Linked DNA regions of Lepisosteus oculatus. The protein of the gene in region 2 purifies or fractionates together with the protein of the main gene of each other region. This does not show direct contact. Links are inferred from orthologs where the notes say so. Each region holds a gene or a part of one and is shown on either strand. Other genes may lie near its edges.

Evidence for each region.
Region 1: the proteins of crnkl1 (region 2) and ppie purify together in Homo sapiens (affinity purification with mass spectrometry; 3 studies listed by BioGRID and IntAct, counting the BioPlex papers as one, with this or other methods). This does not show direct contact. The link is inferred for Lepisosteus oculatus from reciprocal best matches to the Homo sapiens genes CRNKL1 and PPIE.
Region 3: the proteins of crnkl1 (region 2) and ccdc12 purify together in Homo sapiens (co-immunoprecipitation; 3 studies listed by BioGRID and IntAct, with this or other methods). This does not show direct contact. The link is inferred for Lepisosteus oculatus from reciprocal best matches to the Homo sapiens genes CRNKL1 and CCDC12.

The regions. Positions count from the first base shown.
Region 1 is NC_090706.1:2,459,952-2,467,437, reverse strand, and holds the start of ppie (peptidyl-prolyl cis-trans isomerase E), read right to left. Parts: upstream 3,001-7,486; 5' UTR 2,938-3,000; coding exon 2,907-2,937; intron 1,126-2,906; coding exon 1,027-1,125; intron 443-1,026; coding exon 399-442; intron 1-398. Other genes in the region: pabpc4 (polyadenylate-binding protein 4), read right to left, coding at 4,371-4,463, 5,235-5,365, 5,923-6,013, 6,118-6,251, 6,425-6,547, 6,856-6,946, 7,048-7,317. UniProt on the Homo sapiens protein: Involved in pre-mRNA splicing as component of the spliceosome. Combines RNA-binding and PPIase activities.
Region 2 is NC_090697.1:9,759,856-9,767,007, forward strand, and holds the start of crnkl1 (crooked neck-like protein 1), read right to left. Parts: upstream 3,003-7,152; 5' UTR 2,891-3,002; coding exon 2,843-2,890; intron 2,513-2,842; coding exon 2,360-2,512; intron 1,079-2,359; coding exon 987-1,078; intron 1-986. Other genes in the region: cfap61 (cilia- and flagella-associated protein 61), read left to right, coding at 3,111-3,147, 3,542-3,689, 5,692-5,842, 6,522-6,598, 6,903-6,970. UniProt on the Homo sapiens protein: Involved in pre-mRNA splicing process. As a component of the minor spliceosome, involved in the splicing of U12-type introns in pre-mRNAs.
Region 3 is NC_090705.1:22,377,352-22,384,902, forward strand, and holds the start of ccdc12 (coiled-coil domain-containing protein 12), read right to left. Parts: upstream 3,001-7,551; 5' UTR 2,976-3,000; coding exon 2,892-2,975; intron 1-2,891.

The DNA of each region.
Region 1 (7,486 bases), on a different chromosome or scaffold from region 2:
TTCTGCTTGACACAATCAGTTGTTTAATGGGTAGTCCAAACCTCTGCTCACTGAGCATTTAGTGATGCCTGTTAAGGCTGCAGGAGCTCTCCAGGACCAGGATTGTAGAGCTAAGCAATGAGACACTGCAGAGACAGGCCAATCACTGCACTGCACCCACTTCAGATGAGAGATCCATTCAGCGGCTCTCCAAACTATCTCCACTATTTTGTAGACAGGTTGAAGAGTCAACAAATCAGAATGTGTTTTTGAGTAAACATTCTAAAGTACAGGAAGATCATTAGATACTTTTACGATGAGGTGATGGATATTTGATATTACATTAGACACTACAACTACGAGTTAAATTGTTAACGTTTTTAGGAAGAAGTCAGACCCTCACAAGAGACAACACTCACCTCAGCCAGCTCAAACTCAATAAATGCAAATCCTCTGTGCTTTTCTGCAAACAGAGAGCAGTACAGGTATTAAAAGAACAGACAACATTTCACAATAACACAAAGTTTGCAAGCGAAAGGGTGCCGTTTGGTCCATCTAGCCTGCTTGGTAGTCAGAAGCTTACTGATCCCGTGACTAAATCCAGTTGTTCCATGAAAGAAACCTGCATCGACTTCAACACAGTTTCTATTTGGAAAACCAATAAAAAGGAACTTTAGGGAACCCAAATCATTCAAACCCAAATGCAATTTAGCTTTGATATTGTAGAGAACACCTCTATTCTTTCATGCTTTAAAGACAAAGCAGTAAGGACCGGGTCTTCACATCTCATCTGAAGTGTGGCACCTGCTAAAGCAGGGGAGGTCCAGTCACCTGTGTGGAGCTTTGGTTAGGAAACTGGTCCAGATGGAAGAGTGGCACCTCCTGCTCAGCCAGAACCACCTTTAGCACCAAACTGATAGTCCTTTGACTATAGTAATGGCAACACTGCTGTCAGACTACTTCCAAGGCTGGACAGTTAATTTTTGGCGGCCCTATCGTTTTCTGCAAGACATGTGGGAAACCATTTTTCGCAGCGTGTGTGTTAACCTGTCTCATAGTCCAGAGGGATCTGGATGTCGGTGATGTCGCCAAAGGGAATGAACGCCGCGTGCAGAACCTTCTCGTCCACCTCCTCCGCGAGGCCACCTGCGAGACAGGGAGACTCACACGTGACCAAGGCGATCCCCAAGCGTCAGTAAAGGGTCCCCGCCGCACGTCGGCATCACACTACAGGCCTATACGGACTTCTAGTCAGAGAGCATGTCAAATTTAACGACTGCAGCTGCTGAATCTCGCTGCCTTTTCTGTCCTAGAGGGCGTCAAATTATACGACTAGGAAAAGCAGGGGGTGACTAATTACACGATTCCCTCACGACGTTTCATCACAGTTTCAAATCTCGTGTTGCACCGCAAAAGTACCGTGGGGTCCCCTCGTTTTGGCAGCCCATCAACGTAGAGCACACTGGAATAGGAGGAGGAGCGCCGCGCGAAAGTAAACAAACAACATGGAGGACGAGCACGGAAACATCCTGACAAGGGTGACACAGGCATTGTTTTCCACAAATAGACCCCTTCAAAAATATCATTCTTCTTTATAAATATAGAACGAATTTACAAAAATAAAACAGTTAAAAATATAAAACACCTTTAAAACAAATAGTGTAAACAAATTAGTATTGCGCTAGAACGTGTAATATAATGGGCACATTATCTCACGAGTACACACCTGGCTCACTGCACAACACTACGACTTGCGACTCGCTACCAGAAAATCAAACGGTGTGATTTTATCGTAGCGAGTTGCAGAGAGTGGTGGGGGCTGTTAAGAGCGCTATGACTGAGTCGCTGGGGGTGTCACACTACACAGCTGACGGTAACGGGCGCACACTGCGACTCTACAACTCGCTGTGAGTTTCTTCCGATCGTGTACATGAAGGCTACAACTGAAAATCCTAGGAAAAGTCACGTAGTGTGACGCCGGCATTAGGGACCTAATGGGATATATAGGGGGATTGCTCCCCAGTAGAACAACGCAAGAACAAGGTAAACGTGGAGGTTAGGATTTTTGCCCATGTGAGCTAGCACACAGGGGCTTTTTCCATGAGAATCAATGAAATAAAAGGAGGTTGTAGAACAGAAGTGAGACTAAATGTGTGTTTCAGACTTAGCTACTCAAAAACAGTATACAGTATAACTATACATCCACACAAAACATTTACCAGTTTTACTATATCCTTTCACTCACTTTTATCTCGACTTACCAATCATTTTAACAAAACATCAATTTAAGCAAACGTCTGTTAAGCTAACACTTGTTTCTATCATATTGCTTTCTGAGAAGTAGACAAGTTGGGCGTGATCATCAACTCATACAATAGTCCACAAGAGTACTCAAAGGACTTCAAATAGTGCCTGGGTGCAACCATCAAGTCGGTGTTTTCCCAATATGTCAACTTAAATCGGGGCTGACAAGCGTCTCAAACAGCAAAAGACTAAAACTGAACAGAAATAAACCATTCAGAATAAAAACAATCGACATTTAAGGGATACGCATGTGGTGGTCAAGCTTTTCACAAAACATAGTAAAGTGCAACTGTAATCTGTCGCTTTAATTACGTCATTGTCCCGCTCATCGTTTGAATCTGCTAGAGGTACCGCTGCCAGCCAGGGCTATTTTTTTAAATGCACGGCATGCTTTTGCAATTCATCCTTTAAATTAAAAACAAAGTGTTTATCAAAAGACACTATGGTGAGATGGGCATTGGGGATCAAGGAATGAGTTCACCAAGAAACCATTAACACTTATTGAAACCTAATCTTCAAGACTAAGACAAAGAAAGAACCGTATCTTACAGAGCAGTAAAATGTCATTCAAACTTTCTTATTTCTTCATACAATTCACAAAAGCAGTTTTTTAAACAACTTACCAACATACAGCACACGCTTGGCGGCCGCCATCTTCACTGTGCCCTTTGACCCAACATAAACCCCGCCCTTTCCTGTGCAACTCCTTCAGATGTCCGTTCCGTGCGGCAGTAAGTCCCACACGTGGTTCAGTATAGATCCGTGAGATTGTGCGCGTCCGAGTTCAGTGTTAGGCAGAAATTACACCCATTTTTAAATTGCCGTAGTTTTTGTTTTGAGCCTATATGACCGCTGAAGATTGGCGGCTAAAAAGACATCAAGTAGGTTGTGTCGCTGGATGAATTTCAGTACTGTGGGATTTGTTTGTCCGCTTCAAACTGTTTTAAAAAAAGATGCATTTTACGGTTCCCGTGGAAAAACTGGTGTTGCCCTCTAACAAGAGGATAAGACGAGGCGAACAAGAAGGGAACGAGAGGGTAAGGATAGAGACACACCCAGGGGCAAGTTCATCAATGTTTCATCCTTTATTGAGAAAGTCACACCATCCAGGGATTACAGGGGTCGGAGGTTTCAACCATCCCAATCAAATCACCACAACTCAAAAGCCTGCAGTCAAAAGTTTTTTTCCCCAGGGAGAGAAAAAAAAACAGTCCTGGCCACAAGAAACAAACAGTTCAAGTATAGTATTTGTTAAAAACAAATCCCCCTTTCAGCTTGTACTTATATAATTTAAATATATATATATTTCATTTATTAATTACTAAAATATAATTTAAAAGAATTGTAATTATATGTTTTTTTTAAGTTGTTCAAGTATGGTTTTATTTTTGCATTCAGTTTACAGGAAGAACCAGGTAAATGCGACAGCGAAGACCACTGGATCCCTCTTCTTTGGGTCTAGTTCTTGAAAAAGCCTGGAAAATGAAAGAAACCTTTATTCCCCTTTCCTGGAAAAAAGCCCCCCATGTCCCTTCTGTAAGCACATGTCACCCCCCCCCCCCCCCCACCCACCCCCACCACGCAGCACATCTTCCGCTGCCTCCTGTATCGATCAGATCAGATCAGATGCTGTACCACAGCAAAAGCAGAGTGAAGTATAGCTGAGTGGTAAGAGGCATGGTATGTCACAGTGTAGCACAAACCACAGCAAGCCCCAGGATAACAGACGCAGTCGCTGGAAATTTTAAAAGCCCTTGCACAGGTTTTGATGCCCCCTGCTTTGAAGGATGCAGGTTTGGGACAACGTGGAAAATGTCCCAAAGACAGAACAGCGGTGTGGCTGTTAGGTGTGATGGCCAATAGGGGGAAGCACTGTTCAGAGAAGGCTTCCAGGGCAATACTGGGAGGTGCACAAAATGCCTAGTGAAAAGATTGCAGATCTGCTTCTGTCATAAAGTAGGAAAGAACCAGCCAAGCACGTCTGATCTGTCGCTCTTCTTCAGCGGAGGGGTGCGAAGCCCCCCAAGTTGCGGTTTCTGCAGTCTGGCACCGAGCAGAGCCTCCACGGCCACAGCCACCCTTACCCGTCAGGAGGTCGCAGCCGTGGTGATGACCCCCACCTTCTGCGCAGCGTCCTTCTTTGCCTGGTGAGCCTGGAGCACAGCAACGGCCTCTTCAACCTGAGTCATTGCAGTGCAATGCAATATAATTCAATTACAACAAGACACAAGACTGGACAACACACAGCTGTACGGCTGCATGCAATTCAGCTTCCCCGTCTTGATGGAATGGGCTCGTACAGCCGTTCAGCACATGGAAGGGACCCCAGGACTCTTTTATTAAAGAATGAGTGATCCTGAATCACTGACAAACAGTCATTATTGCAATACAGTGCTTATAAGACTCAAGACCACGTATCTGCAATGGATGCTGCCACCTTCTAGCCTGAACTCCTCTGATCTCGGAAACTACAGCTTTGGCAGGACCAGAATGGGAAAACCCCTGGTGAAAAACTAGATTGCTCCTGCATGTGGGATTCGAGGTCCAGCAGGTGATTCTTCCCTTTGGATCACAATTCATGAAACCACCGCCCCAGTATGACTGGAGACACTCTGCTAGAGCAGATGTTGTCCTATTGGATGACATGTTAAAACCGAGGTCCCAACTACGTGACTCTTAAAAGAGCCCCTGACACTGACCCTGAGATTCAGCGCCATGGTTAAATCCCAGTTGTACGATCTAGCCTACTACAAACTCCCTGTTACCCCAGGTGGCAGAGCAGTCCCTGGCTTCTCCACCTGCCCTGCTGTGCAGTTGGGCAGCAGTGTGTCACCCAGGTGGGCGGGTTGCGGAAGGCTTTCCCATCCTGTCGGTAAAGACGTACAGGGATCCCCTGGGATGATCAGTGTAATCCATCGGCTGAGTTTCCCTGCGTGGAGCCGGCCGCGTACCTTGGAGCGCAGGGACTCATGGGACTCCAGCATGTGCAGCAGCTCTGAGTTATCGATCTCCAGCAGCATTCCGGTGATCTTCCCAGCCAGGCTGGGGTGCATGGCCTGGATCAGGGGGAACAGGCGCTCCCCTGGATTGAGAGAGAGGAAGTAAAGGAGAGTCAGGAGAAGAAGAGGGTGAAATGTGATCTCCTTAGACCTAGTTTTTTAATGTTTGTGTTATTGCGCCTGATTTATTATTATTTTATAATGTTCAAAAGTAGCATCCAGTCTAAGAATCACCTGTTTTAAATCACCCTACCTCTGATTTATGGTCAGCCCTAGCAGTAGGTTCTACAGACTTATGCTCCACACAGAAGGCATCATGACACAAGGGCAAGTAACATACAGTGCAACATTTGATCAAAATCCCGTTTTGGTAATTTTGTTGAAAATGAGAGGTGAGTAAGGATGACAGGAAATTGACTTCTCCCAAGCAGGGAGAGGTGAGGGAATCCTCCATCCATGAGAAGCTGAGAATGAAGCTGAGAAGATGAGAACAGCAAACTCTTCCTCCTCAGTACTAAGCTATCCCTAAACATCTTTTTTGGATCCAAGCTGCTGACCAATCGACCAGCAAGTGGGAACTGCTCCTGCACCGATAAGGACACTGAGGGTGAGAAGACACTCAATGGCGTCTCGTAATCACCCAGCATCTGCTTCTGCTCCTGTGGGGGGGCGGCGGCCAGCATCGAGGCGGTGAGGGGCTCCTGTCCCTGGACGTGCACCGCCGGCTGGGTCTGAGGAAGGCAGAGAGAGCGTGTGGGACAGGCACCTCCGACACCAGTAGGTGCTGACTACCTCCTGCGTCTATCCCCAGCGGAGCCCGAGAAGCCGTCCGTACCTGCTGCAGGGAGAGGGGCTGCATCACCTGGGGCGGGGGGTTGCGCACACTGGTGGCGTATTTGTAGGGTGGGACGGCCCTTGGCGTTGGCACTGCCACGGAGGGACGGGGGCCCATGGTCTGACCAGCCCCTCCTACAAACACACAGCAAGAGCAGGAGAGCGAGAGCTCAGTCCCAGAGTGCAGGTCTGACCCGAGACCTCATTTTCCATCAGAAAACAACAACTGACAAATGCAAGTGACCTTTTTAGGCCTCACACAGCTCCGTAGTTTTAATCCTCCCTTTCTGCACTTCCCTCTTCCTTACCCATTCTCTGCGCCCCAGCTGGGATTCCCCGGGGGCCTTGCGTGCTGGAACCGGGCGCCAGGTGCCGCAGGTTGGCACGGGGCCCGCTCTGACGCAGGGCGCCAGGCATTGCCTGAAAGCCACCTGCAGGGGGAAGGACAGAGGGGGAGGAGATGAAGGGAAGGAGCTCTCTGCGTCTCTGCTCACCCAGGAGTATTTATGATAAGAGCTTGAGCAGGGAAATTAGGTGAACTGGCAGACAGTATGCATTCTCTTGCTTATCCTGTTTAAAGTACGTGCAGTTAAAATCGATGGCATCGCAGATGTATTGGTGCTTCCAGCACAAAAGGATTCAAGCTTCACATGGTCACCACCCCTCTGAAAAACGGGACAGTCCATTTCCTCTTTCACTCCCGCCCACCCCTCACCCCCGGGGGCTCAGAGCTCCTCACCCTGTGGTCGGCCCCCCTGCTGCTGCCAGCGTGGGTTGGGCCTCATCTGTGTCAGCTGATTTGGCGCGTAGTACGTCGCTCGGTTCTGGGCCTGGAAGAAAGACACACAGGTAAAGCAGACGTGACCTTTCCCCAGCTCGCGGGGGGCACAAACACCCCCACGCTTCATTTCACCCCCGTTCTCCCCCGCACCTGTGGCACGGCGGGCATGAAGTAGCCGCCGGCGGGCTGGAACTGGTTGATGATGGCATTGGCGGGCATGGCCCTCATGCCGGCGATGCGCTGCATGTACTGGTTGGTGAGGTGAGCCTTGCGCTCCTCCTTGCGCTGAGCCAGCGCCACGTACAGCGGCTTGGAGCCCACGATGCGCCCGTTCATCTCCGTCACGGCCTTGGTGGCCTCCTCCGGGGAGGAGAAGCACACGAACCCGAAGCCCTTGGACCTCCCTTCCTCCAGCATCACCTGGGGAGACAGAGGGAGGCAGCAGCATCAGGACCGGAGCGCCTACTGCACGGGCATGGCCCTTCACTCTGCAGGCTGGCACTGCAATGCTCTTCCGTTCTTATCAACACTGTCCAGTCCTCCACCATGTTCCTACAGCCTCTCCTGAATGTGCTGTCCTTTCCTACGG
Region 2 (7,152 bases):
GGTTTTCTATTAGACTAGAGTAGGAGTTTCCAACTTGGATCCTGAAGGGCTGAATTCCTGCAGGTTTTATGCCTTAAATCAGTAGCACTTGGAGAACAGGGAGTCTCTTGCACTGTTCCAATTAAGCCTTTAATTAGTTCAGTTAGATCATTAATGATCCTGCAGGCCTCCGTAATAATAATTCTTTACACTTACATAGCACTTTTCTGGACACTCCACACAAAGCACTCGACAGCTAATGTGGACTCCCATCCAGCCCCACCTGGATGATGCAATGGCAACCATATTGCCCCAGTACACTCACCACACACCAGATATCAGTGGGGAGGAGAACAGAGCAATGAAGCCAGTTCATAGATAGGGATTATTACGAGGCCATGATTGGGAAATTTGGCCAGGGCACTGGGATAACACTCAACTCTTTTCGAGAAGCACCCGGGGTTTTTTAAATGACCACAGAGAGTCAGGACCTTGGTTTTGTGTCTCATCAGAAGGACAGACCCTTTTTACAGTATATTGTCCCCGTCACTATACTGGGGCATTAGGACACACATAGGACACACATAGACCACAGGGTGAGTGCCCCCTGCTGGCCCCACTAACACCTCTTCCAGCAGCAACCTTAGTTTTTCCCAGGAGGTCTCCCATCCAGGTACTGACCAGGCTCACACCTGCTGAGCTTCAGTGGGCTGCCAGTTGTGAGTTGCAGGGTGATATGGCTGTGGGCTAAATGTACTGCGCACATTGTGTGGCATGGCCTATTTTACTGTACACCTTCAGAAAGAACAGCACAAACAAGAATCCCAATGTATATATACACATGACAAAATAAACTCTCTCTTTTCTAAAAGCATTTCATTAAATCTGTGGCTTTCCAAGTTATTTGGCCCTATTGTAATCACAATTCAGAATCTGGGTGGACAGGTATTTTTTATAATATTCTCTCCTCTTACATTTCATCTAGAACATTAAGAAATAAATATTACCTCTGAACTTCCTTCAGGCTCTCCTCCCATTGTGCATACTTTATCCAGTTACTGATGACAGTGCGATTTTTTCGGATGTTGTCTTCAAATCCCTTTGAATAGACAAAAACAAAGTATCACGGAGAAAGCTCAGATGAGTGTACTTTCATCATATGCACTTTTGTGCTTTTTAAACTCACACGATTATTGTTCAACTGAGCAACCTGAATTTTATACAGTTGAATACAAATATTAAAAAAAACATTAAACAGAAGGGTGTAAAAATATTTAATTCTCCCCTTTTCAAGTTCATATTACTTCAAATGGTTGGGCCATCTGAGAGCAGTACAGCTACGATGGTTTTAATGATCATCATGGTTGCAAAAGTCAGGCAACTTCTTACAATCACCAATAACTAGAAATAATAATAATAATAATAATAGCGCACAGTTATATAGCGCTTTACTGGACTCTCCACTTTACAGGTAATGGGGACTCCCCTCCACCACCACCAATGTGATAGAAATACATGATAGACTAGAAATATAAGATAGAAGAACTGTAGGAAATAAAGGAACTGGTGTAAAATATTATATTGCAGATTCCAATATCTAAAAGTGATGATAATTTGATTTAACAGTAAAAACACAATATCAACAACAGCACAAACTTGTAAAGTTTTGTCTCCGCTTGGTACTTAAACTAACAAAAGGGACGTGGAGCGTGTGGAGGTCATTTCGGAGGATGACTGGACTCGGGTCCTGAAGTCGGAGACAGCAGCCATATCACCCTGCACCTCACAACTGGCAGCCCACTGAAGCTCAGCAGGTGTGAGCCTGGTCAGTACCTGGATGGGACAATCCTGGGAAAAACTAAGGTTGCTGCTGGAAAAGGTGTTAGTGGGGCCAGCAGGGGGCGCACACCCTGCGGTCCACGTGGGTCCTAATGCCCCAGTTTAGTAATGGGGACACTGGACTGTAAAGAGGTAACGTCCTTCGGGTGAGACATAAAACCGAGGTCCTGACTCTCTGTGGTCATTAAAAATCCCAGGGTGTTTCTCAAAAAGAGTAGGGGTGTAACCCCGGCGTCCTGGCCAAATTTCCCATTGGCCCTTACCAATCATGGCCTCCTAATAATCCCCATCTATAAACTGGCTTCATCACTCTGCTCTCCTCCCCACTGATAGCTGATGTGTGGTGAGCGTACTGGTGCACTATGGCTGCTGTCACATCATCCAGGTGGGGCTGCACACTGGTGGTGGTGGAGGGGAGACCCTATTACCTGTAAAGCGCTTTGAGTGGAGTGTCCAGAAAAGCGCTATATAAGTGTAAGCAATTATTATTATTATTATTACATGTCTAAAACAGCCGCCGGGCTCTGTGTTCCGCACTTACCTTTCTTTTCCGCAGCTTGTAATCATTCAGCTCCTCCTCGTCGGTGATCTTCTGCTTGGGCGGCGGGGGCAGAAGCTCAAGCTCCCTCTCTTTGGCTTCCCTGAGCAGCTGCTCCGCCGTGATCTGCACCTCGGCGGGGGCCTTGTTTTTCACCTGCACACGGGACAAAAGCTCCAGCTCAGCCACGCCACGTTACCGCTATACCGCATAGAGCAAAGCACAAGCAAATACACATCGCACTGTGAAGGAGGAATTCAAAATGTATCAAAGTACATTGCAAAAGGCATTTTTTTTAATTGACTCGAGATGAAATTGGCATAAGCGCCTAGCTATACCACACGGGCAAATATACTTTACACCTACATAAGACATGCAACTTTGATACGTTTGATTTATATATAAACCTTTTTATTTATGTTTTTCACGTTGAATTTATCTTTCGCAAGGCCTTACAAACATCGCCAGCACACGGTACAATATTACCTTAGCCACTTTCGGTATCCTTTGCTTCCCAGCCGCGGTAGAAGCCATTTTTCAACTTGTTACTTCTAATCCGAAATAAAATAAAAAATACACAGTTTTAAGAACAATATTGTAATAACAACAACAGAAGTCAACTACGGTTCCACACACTGGTCCACCATGAAAGACGTACGCCGTGCGTAACCTCCAACCTTTCACCCCATGATGTCATTGGTAGTCAAGGAGACGGAGCGTTCTGTCACCATGGATATGAAGTTTTGTTTGCTGAATGTTCACAGAGGACCCGCAAGTTATCTTAAAGGAAGGTAACCCAGCCTCGTCTTCTTGAAGAAATATTGCATTTGAAAGAATTATTTTTAAGTACATATACATATAATGCATTGGATAACCTATGCTGAATTTAATGTGACTCGCCACTCTTAATATGCATGTCAAAGAGAGCATCAAAATGTTTCTGCTCATGTTTCTATAAAATCAGTTGTACATGCGTATGTGTGAAATACGCTTTGGCACTGCACATTTAAATTGTTATTGGTCTCGTAATGTGTAAATATACATTTCTAAAGTGCTTGCGATTGTCTGTCGTCTGAACACGATTTCAAACTCTGTAGCGCAAGAGAGCTGTTTCTCAGTTTTGAAATCTGTAAATTCACTACCAGTGCAGTTGCTTTATTTATCCGCCCGACTGCTTGCTTTAAGGTACAATGAGGACCATTACTTCCTCTGGTGGGAAAGAAGAAATTGTGACGGCGAGGCGAGCAGAATCGTCGGATGCTCCAGAGATCAGTAATCTGATTCTGCCTTCCACCAAAGACGTGTTTGGCAGATTAAACGTCATTTACCTATTGTGAGTAAAATAGTTGGGGAGAACGTAAATCGGATTACCTATTGTCTTTAACTTTGTTTTCAACGCTATATCCAATGTCAAAGTCGTAGCAGTCCTGCAGCGTTTACGTCATTCAGTTGAGAAATATTGCAACCGCATGCACCGTCCACAGACTGCTTTTAACATGTGTTGGTGAGAGTGGTACAGTATGTAACACGTGTGAGACCCTTTTCCCTGGAGAGGTTGAAGGCGGGACAGCTGAGGTTCGGTGAAAAGAACCGAGTCCAGACTACGGAGGCGAAGCGAACATCAGGTCCTTATTTTTTAGTACTCAAATCAAGATACACAGCACAGCGACGCGAGAGAAAGTTTTCTCTGCGCATCTCTACCCCAAGCTTGGTTTCCTCCAGCATCGCCCGGTACAAACAAGTCGAGCAAAAACCGCAGTTCAGTAGCCCCGTCCTCATCTCGGTACATCCCCCTCATCCGGCGATTGAGATGGCAGAGCGACTTCGGCTTCCTCCTTCCTCCTGCCTGACACTTATAGTTTCTTGAGCGGTTGGTAGCTGTCAGCAGTCTGCATATTTTTTTATATCAGAATCACAAAGACATGTTTTTAAGCGTCAGCAACGTTTTGTAGGTACAAGGTGATCATCAATGCTTCAAGTTACAGTTATGTCATACAAAAACTCCTTCAAATCCAGACTCAAAACCTTCTTCTTTAGAAGAGCCTTTGTTGAACTGTTCTTTACCCCTCTGCTCCCACTGTATTCAGTACGACCATCTACTGGCTCCTCTACCTGTGTATTCTCATCTAGCTTATCTTGTGTGTTTTTTTATTGTTGTTGTTGACATGCTGTAAAACACTTTGAGAAGCCACCTTTAAAGGCACTATATAGAAGTTTATTCATTATTATTATACAAAAGATATCTAAAAATAATCCTTCAGTCCCCCCTTTCGCCTGCTGCGGACGCAGCCTGGGTGCAGTTACATTTAACCCTTCTTCACCCGGTGCCACGTCTACCCCGCTTCTTACAGGAACTCCACCCGGGGCCGGGACTCGGAGGTCAGCGTGTGCATCTGCTCCCACATGACCTGCGATTGCAGCGTCTGGCGTGCAGAATCTATCACTGCTGAGTCACCTCTTTCAGCTCGGATTCGACTTCTATTTATGAAGCGCCTTTCGAAATCCAAGGACGCTCTGCATAGTGAATAAAAAAAGGCAAAAAAAAAGTCCAATAAAATGTAAATGAAGGAAAAAATAGACAAGAGCATACAGAGGTTTTACAGATGGAGGGCAATCAGATGTAGACCTTGGTAAAAAGGAATGTTTTAAGTTTAGCTTTGGTGAGAGTTAAAGAAGTTGTCTCTCGTAGAGTCTGAGCAAGGTCATACACAACACATGTTGTAAGCTAAATGCACTTCCGAACTTCTCCTGATGTGCTAGCAATGGTCGATTGATAGATGCAATACTGGCTAATAAGTTTAGAAGACCACACAAGTGGAGTTGAGGTGCATTGAACACACCATTCTAAGCAGGCTTACATATGCCATCCCCAACAGGTTATTATTCCCCAGATGTTTCATAAGGAGCTTCCTTTTATGTATAAAAGAAAGGAGGCCATCTGTCCCTTCTAGTTCGTTTGATTGCTTCTAGCTAAATTCATCCAAGGATCTCATCCGGCCTTTTCATGAAAGAAGCCAGAGTATCAGCTTCAGCCGTATGGATGTACTGCTTTTTCCAGACACCAACAACCTCTTTTGTAAAAGAAAAACTGCCTTCAGCATTGTGCTTCAGCATTGTTTCCAACTGTCTCCTCTGGTTCATTTTGATTCAGAAGGGTCTCTAATAAATAAGTACCATTCTAGAACATAATTGACTCATGCATCCATGATCAAAAAGCCAGTTATTCTTGGTAAGGGTCGTAGAGAAATTGTGCATAGCACAAGGCGGGAATTCAGGCTGGATAAGGATCCCAGTCCATCACTGGTCATTATTCATTTATTTTTTTGTCTACCTAGGGAGAAGGCTAACCTTGCAGTGACACTGAACAGTGCAAACAATGAAGTCATAGCTCATGCTGCCTTCCTAGATTATCCCAATCTGGATCTTGTTGACCAGGCTTGCTGGGAACCTTGGTTACACAACAATTACAACATTGATAAATGTACAGTAAGTATTGATTTCACCGAATTATCAACAGTTGTGTGCACTAGTATTATTAGCAGCAGCTGAAGCAGTAGTGCACTATTTAGTTAATGACAGATTCATGTTGTGTTGGTAAGAGTTTTCTTTTAATGCACTCTGGATTGATTTGTTTATTCTTTCTGAATCACATTTTAGTTTCCTACCTGCTTAAACCTCCGTGTTACTTAGAATTTAGAGATCGGTATTAGCCTACTTAGAAATTCAACCCGGTTGCGCAGGAACATAAACAAGTCACTTAAAGTAAGTTTCAGGAAAATTACTTTTTCATCCTTTATTTTACCATATATGTCATAAGAACAATTTCTCATGTGCAAAGATGACGGGGACAGTGTCTGTTTATATCGCATGGTATAAATTGAAGCATTTTGAGTGCTGTTTGCTGCCACGTGTTAAGTGACCTCGCCCCCCCACCTTATGTAATAACATACATTTCCCATTGCCATTTGCACCAGTAGAATGTGATGTGTGCGGTCTCATTTTTTGACATACTGTACCAACCAGTATACAATGGATCTGCTTGATCTAGTCATGGTAGAGAAAATGCACATCACTAAGCGAATGAGAGATAAGCTATTCAGAAATAATACTGATATTATTATATGTATCTTAGATCTTATTTCTGTATATTTTTTTTCTGTTTAAGCCACTGAACACACTTTTTATGCACCTCTATGTGGCACGGCCCGACTTCTGTATTGGGAGTTCAAAAGAGATTGTAAGGTAATACTTTAATAAAACAAGCCAATATGAAACATTAAACTAATAACATGGCAATTGGAAATAATTTTATATAGAACTCTGACTTAGATTGTGTATGATCTTCTCTTCTCATTTTTTATTAGATGTTTTGATTGTAACGATAATTAACCTTTCTTGCATTTATAACTTCTGAGAAGAATTTGTAAAATAAATTAAATAGAAATTTATTGTACAATGCTTTCTTTTGTTTATTTTCTGATTTAATTTGTTACAGTATATCACCATAACAATAATGTCATTTTACTGCCAATGTGCTTACTTTTAGAACAGTTTTCAATGCTGTTACAGAGCTCCATTATATATTCCTCTTTGCTCCAGTTGGTTCCACTTTAGGTAAGAAATCTTACTTTTATAACAGCTGTAAATCAAATCAAATCAGATGTATTTACAAAATATAATCAAAAATGTTTTATGTCAAATAAAATAGCTAGAGTTACATTTCAAGCTAGAATGGAATTCTGTACAAATATCTCAAAATCTCTCAATTATAAGTTTATCAATTTTATTTTTAATTT
Region 3 (7,551 bases), on a different chromosome or scaffold from region 2:
CTCGGCTTTTCCTGGAAAAACTAAGCTGTTCCCTCGTTTTGATATAACAATGCAAAAGCCTCTGGTGTTCCTAAAAGTCAGGGCAATGCTCGCAGAGCGGAAAACCCTCAGCTTCAGTGAACAGAAGCCAAAATAACAATAAACCCAAACTGTGCACATAAGCATGCTCACACAAGCATCTGTGGCATTAACCTCGAGTTCACAAAGGAAGGCAGCTGGCTCATTACCAATCTTCTGGCACAAGCGAAAATGCCAACGTTTTCTAATCTACAGATCTTGGAGCTTATTAAACAGGAATCTCTGCACAAGGTTCTTTTTCCTTGATTGCCCAACAGACACAGTCAGAAGAACAGCTGTTGGAGACATTTTATTACGCATTCACACGTGTGTAGGGAGTCTGTCCCAGGAGTGTCAGGGGCGGGGTTATTCCAAACACAGCATTGCCCGGGTTTCCTCTGTGCACTTCCACTGAAAAACCTGCGCAAGCAAACTGATCTCAGGTGACATCTAAGCAACCTGCTGTGTAATGGAAAGACCTAGAGTGGGCTAACATAGCCATGTGTGCTTCAGCACTTTAACTTCATCCAGAGTGCCCACCTACTTCTGACATAGGTTACACCTCTCTAGGCCACCCGCATTAGAAATACTGCACCTTGAATCCAGTCTGTAAGAACTGTTCGTACAAGGTAAGCTTGAAAAGCATTAAAATATATTTACCTGGATATATGATAAATATTGTATTACACAATCAGGGTTGATTTATCTCTATAGCTCTACAGAAATCTCACAATCTTTGCCTCTAATCTTCACAGTCAAGTTCTCACCACACAAAACCTGGAGGCACATCCCGCCCCGCTCAAAAGATTTTCCTGAAAAAATCATTCATGCTTATCAGTCTGGAAAACACTGCAAAACCTTTTGTAAAACTCTGTGGCTCCACCGAACCAGCCAGAAGCATGGTCCCGAAATACAGAAGATTTAGGTCAATAGCGAATATTCCCAAGAGTTTCCATCTGGCCAAAATCACTCCAAGAGCACAGAGTAAAATAGCCCAGGAGGTCACAAAGAACCCCAGGACAACATCCAGGGATCTACAAGCCACCGTAACCTTGGCTAAAGTCAGTGTTCATGATTCAATCATCAGAAGAGCACTGGGTAAGAACAGTTTCATGGGAGCATGGCACAGGCGAAACCATTGCTTGCCAATTGCATTGATACTCATTTTAAATTTGCCAAAAAGCACCAGGATGACCCTCAAGTTTTCTGGAGGAACAGTCTATGAACAGATCCGTGAAAAGGGGTTATGTCTGACAAAAAAACAAAACAAACTGCATTCCATACACAGCAATAAGAGAGACTGATTACTACTTACAGGAAGTGTTTGGTTGCAGTTATTGCAGCTCTAAGTGGCAGAACCAGGTACTGAGCCTAAGAGCCTAATTAACTCTTTCTCACAGGGGCACTGGATGTTAGATGGTACTAAATAAATGATACAGGCATCATATGTTGGTGATATTATGTTGGCAATATTAGTTCACTTAGACTCCCTTTTTACATCACTAAAACCCCTATAAATCTCTGATCATATGAAGTGGCAAAAACGCTTAAAAAAATAAATACTTTTTCACAAAACTGTATACACCAGCATAGTTTTGAGATATTGAAATTCTTGTCCAAAGTCCCACAAAAATGCTTAGAGCTACAAATTAAACAAAGAAAGTGAGAAAACTGGCAGCAAAATTTTCTTCATAAGATGCACATTGTTACAAGACAGACAGCACAAGGTACAAATTAGAAGTCATGCATATAAAAAAACTGAAGTGGGAAGCTTGTGCCAAAAAGAATTGAATCGGCATTAACCACTACTGCTTTTTATGCAGATTAATACACCCCTGGCTTTGCACTAAACTGGAAATTTCACAACTTTTGTTCTCAGTGCAACTACAATTTTTAATCTGGATTATCATGTTCTCTATCTACTTGAGTTTTTTTTTCTGTTGCTGACTTGCTTGGGAAGGTTTTGACTGAGTGAATGTTGATTCCTAAAAGCCACCTGATGGAATCTGAAATGGGGATACCTGGGATAAAATGCTTTCTTCATTAGTTTTCTACCAGAACTTGTTCCAGACTGCTTCACGAAGTGTTCCTCTTTACTCTCTCTTGCATGTCATTCATCTTTCAGTGAAGCGAAATATGCAGTCAGCTCGACTCTAGCTGAAAGCCTTGAGTCAATGATTAACAGACAAGCAGCAGCTAGCTATAGTGGTGTAAGAAGTATCCTCGACGCAATCTAAAATATATAGATACTTTATTGATCCCGTGAGTGAAATTGCAGACTGTAAGTAAAATAATGTCTTATTTTACATTGTAAAATAATGTAAGACCTGCTGAGCTATGACGTTCTTTATCTGCCCTCTGAACTGGACCTCGCATTCCTGTGGCAATCTCTTACTAATACAGTACCAACTCCGCAAAAAGCAAATTATATCGGTACAATAATCGTTAGAAGACAATTCAGACCACGAACAAGCTTATTGAATGTTAAACTCGTCGTTCTTAAACGCTTTCATGTCGAGCTAGTTCTAGCAAACATATTATTATTGCCCAAACATATTTAGTGACTGCTCATTTAAAACACGTTCTAGTTAGATCAATGCTCAGATTACTTACAATACTATGAATGAGTGGCCTAGTATCTAAAAGGGTCGGTACTGTGAGCAGCGCAAACTGAATTAACGGCACACGTTGTAGTGGAAAAGCTAGCTGGCGGTGGATGAGTCTTGTGTATCTTTAGGATTTGTCCAGATCAGCAGGTCTCCAGCCATGGACGGACCCAAATAATCAACCGACCAATTCTCTTTCACTCGTTTTGTCTCTGCTTGAAGTCTTACCTGAAATTGCTTATTCCTAATCGCCTTTAGTCTCTCTTTCCTCTTCAGCGCCTGCTCTTCCAAAGAACCCACGACTGTCGCCATCTTCCCACAATTCTCTACACCGAAAGCCAAACCTGTCGCAATAGATTGCGTCGATACAGGCACTCCTGCTAATCGCCGAGCTAGTCGATCCATCAAGAGCCCGTTGAATATTAGCTGCAACAAGATTGAATATATTTTTTATTCCCAAACGGTTTATGACAGGTATAAAGTGATATCTAACAAAAAATAGTAAAATAAGCTCATTTGCATTAATGTTTACACAAATCAGAAATCACAAAATATTTAATAATAATAATAATAATAATAATAATAATAATAATAATTGCTTACACTTATATAGCTCTTTTCTGGACACTCCACTCAAAGCACTTTACAGGTAATGGGAACTCCCCTCCACCACCACCAATGTGCAGCCCCACCTGGATGATGCAACGACAGCCATAGTGTGCCAGAATGCTCACCACACATCAGCTATTAGAAGCTATTTAGAAATAAAGTTAAACAGATTTATTACGTATTTACATGTTCATACAAAGAGCACATCCAATGTGTACGTACATATGTTTACATATGTTTATGTTCACATATGTTTCAGGTCTACAAGCAAAACTTCAAACATTTCATACTGAATGTTCCCAAATCATTATAGACCATAATTTCCAAATCCTAACCCTACGGCTTATCAGGCCTGAATTTATCCTGCTCTCTTTGGCTATATAGAGACTTCATAACTCTGAATGGGAGGCCAGTCACTGGCAAGGATTACCCCCAGCAATGTCAGTCCCCATTCATACAGCTGGGTGGACTGAGGCAACTGGGGGTAAAATCCCAGACTCAGAGGTACAACAACAGTGATTGCAGTGGGGACTCAAACCAACAGCACACCAATTACAAGTCCACTGTGCTAAACCACCCTCAAATTAAAGCAGAAGGAAAATATAACTAATAGTTTTGTCTAAAACAGAATGTTAATGAGTGGTGAAGGGATCCAAGGTATAACAGCCAAGTTAATGATCCAAAACATCAGAACACTCTGTTTTCATTTAAAACCAAGAGGCCTGAGGAGCATCACCAGCAGGTAGAGTCTAGGAGATCAGACCAACAGTTGTCCTTGAACACAAAGGACTGGAAGGCTGGATACAGCAGTGGGATGAGACACAAGGTGCAGAAGCATGATGAGTGATGATGGGACAGAGGGCAAGACAGAGAGAGGAAAACATTAGGGATGATGGTAAACCTACAGCCAGTGGAGACGTCTGACAAAGGAAGGACAGAGAGGCATAGCTCAGCAGAGAAGATGGAAGAGGAAAAACAGTTATGGTGCAGGACAGAGATCAGAACAGAATTAGGAAGTGGGCAGCAGGAGCAAAACAGAAAGAGCCTTCAAACAAACCAAGTGTGCAGAACACACCCCTACCTTCTGTACCCACAGACAAACTGGCCTGGGCTATCATGAACTTACAAACACCAGAAAGTTTGATTGTCAAGTTTGCAATGTGCTGGGAAGTTAGGAACTTGGAAACTTTAAACAACAACAACAACAACAACAACAACAATAATAATATATGCAATTAATTATAATAAATTATTATTATCATTTTATTTTATTTTTTTACAATTTTGTTTGCATGATGTTCAACCAAACAGAACATGGAGTGGTTCAAGTAGGTAGCTGCAACAACGCGTAGGCTGCAAAGGAACAAATAAAGGTCTAATCCATGCTGAAAAGAGAAGAAAAGCTGTGGAGCCTTTTTCGGGTGTCAGAACTTGGAGGGGCAGTGGTGACAGCATTTTTCTGATCCAATAATCCAATTGTGATGAAAAAAGGCAAGCAGAACAGCCACAACATTCAGAATTCACAACATTCAGAATTTCTCCAGCGCATCACACTGGACCCAATATAAAGGTTAATGAAAAAAGTTGTTAGTTTTACAACAGGTGGTGGAGTTCTGTGAGAAAATCGACCGATTCCTCTCTTTTTTCAAGTGTATGAATTTGAAGTTACAGAGTGGTTCTGCATGTGCTAAAATGACTGTTGCAGCATCTGAATTGCTCACAGGGGAGCTAAAAGGGCACAAAGGAAAGGCTTACTGCACAACAGGTGAAGTGTTGCTTCTTGTGTGATTGTGGGATTGTTTACAGTGTGAATGACTTCACTTCAACAAACCTTGAAAACTCATTCAGTGCATTAATCTTTTCCAAGCTGTGCTTTGGACATGTTTTTCCCCCACTTGAGTTAACAAAGAAATGCTAGCGAAAGGATCGCTCACACAGAAGGGGTGTTTGCCAGCTAATTGTCTCAGGGAGGCGTGATGTTTCCTTCAGTAAACGGTGCGCTTGGTGAGACAACATTGTTATTGCTGTTTCCTGAAACTGATGACCCCCACAGGGCAGGACAAGGTCACTCACTGGAACAGTGGCTGCTGCTTTAAATGAAATACCAAGACTCACTTAAAACATTAGAGACTTTATAAATAGAAGCACTCAGTGTGGTGCTCGATACTCCATTCTTTCCACTGCTAAAGGGCCTGCATTAGGCTGGGTTTCAGTAATGTCAGGGAGAGGTGTTGAACGTCAGCATTGTGTAATTCTTCAGTTTTGTCTCTAACTTTAAGTCTTGCTTTCTTTCTGTCTCTCATTTCTTTCTCGCTGCTGGCCCCCAGAATCCCACTGCAAACTCTCAGGCCATGACAATGGCTTTCTCCTGGCTTGGTGTGACAATATGTCTGTATGACCTGCTCTATGTGGCCTTCTTGACCATGATAACACAAATGTCATCCTCGGATGCCATGCCCTTCTAATCCATAAGTATGTAACCCCAGTGTATGCAGTTCTGCAAAAATACATACTTTATTCTAGCTCTGGTTTCTGCAGTTCCATATGGAAAAGGATGTAAACTCCTAAAATGTCACATAAGAGCTACCGTGTGCATTGAATTCCACATTTAATTTACCATAGAGGAATCTCACAAACTGCTAGTGCCAGCACCAGTGCTAACTCAGAACATTAAAATCACACATACAAAGGGTCAGGTGGTGCCTTAAGACATCACACCTTTAGGCCTTCCTGCCGCCTTCATATCATGACTGTAGTCTAGAGCAACGCTGAAACAGAAAGAACTGCCTCCACCCCCTCCCAATTTATAGACCAAGAAATGTCCTGCACCTGCACTGGCACAGAGTGATCCAGATTGTACTGTGTGTCAGATTCCATTGCGTCTCCATGCCAATCTGACTGCTGCATACACACAGATATAGAGAGGCCTTAGTGTACCACACTGGGCTTGGTGAGTAATCTAGGGCATTGCCATGGCAATACAGCTGCCTGGAGGTTCACTTTTTGCATCGTATTGGCCAAGTGACCAATATACTGCTGTAACAAAAAACTCTATGTCTTACACATAAAGACAGAGCATGTAGGTCATTAATTCTACTGCTGGTATCACTATCCAGCAATCTTTCAATTTACATTTGAGAATTGCAGAAGTGGCAGGGTCCACTGTGTTTGAAACGCTGAATTAAACTTGGTCCAATGGCAGATAAAACTCACGTATTACCCTGGGCTAGGAGACTAGCAGATTATAAATGTTATGCCTCTCTGAATGAGTTCACCTCACCACTCTCAGTTTGTGTCACATTTCTTGAGAAAGCAACATTTAAAATATTAAAGGGGAATACTGAACTAACATCCAGAAAGCTTTCTTCACAACACTTTTTTACTTTATGCCTTCCTCCAATCTGTTTGTAGTGACACTAGTCTAAGGCAATGCTGAATTTTGGGGGAATTTGGGAATCTTAATTTTCTCATTGGTATTTCTTATTGGTATAAATAGGTGTAAACGTGATGTGGTGGTCTGCGCTCTGTGACAATGGCCAAGACAGTTGCTTAGAAACAAAGAAAAGAAATTCCTGGGGGGATACAGGCGACAAGTCTTGGTGTCCAGCCCCCACACAGTACTCACCGCCTTGTCTCTGTGTTCTGCTTTCCGTGGTGGATCAAATTGGTTGCTGTTGCAGAGACAGAAGCATTTGCTATCTTTCAAACCACAGCTTGATGAAACTCGCCTATCATCAACCTTTTCAGCTGCCACACTGTCAGGCTGTCCTGAATGGCCCAACCTCTTGCCTCCATCATTTATTAAACTCTTTTAGGTGTTCTTCGCAGCCAGTAGTCAGATGGCCCAAAGGACCAGAGGGAACAGCAGTCACATTTAGGCTGTGATGGTAGCTGGAGGTACTGTATGTGTGTTGATTCTGGTTTTGTGTCATGGATGAAATATCAGCACTCCTGTTTGCTCTGCCAGAGAGCCCTGTCCTTGAGAAAGACCTTGTGCTGGGGTGGTTAATCTTGGACTGGAAAAACACAAGGCTTTCATTTCTGTTTTATCCAAGACCACAAGGAATAAGAGAGCACGAGAGACATGATATCTAAATCCAGACCTGAGAGGGACATCAATGAATGCTAATGCAGAAAATCTTTTCCCACAGTGAAGGCGTGGGATGGGATTTGAGTTTTTCTTTACAGATGTGAGAAAACTCCAGAGTCTAAAAAACAGTCTTGGGGAGTTTTTGTGCGAGTGAATCCAGAGTGTTCATTCTCATACAGCCCATTCAGC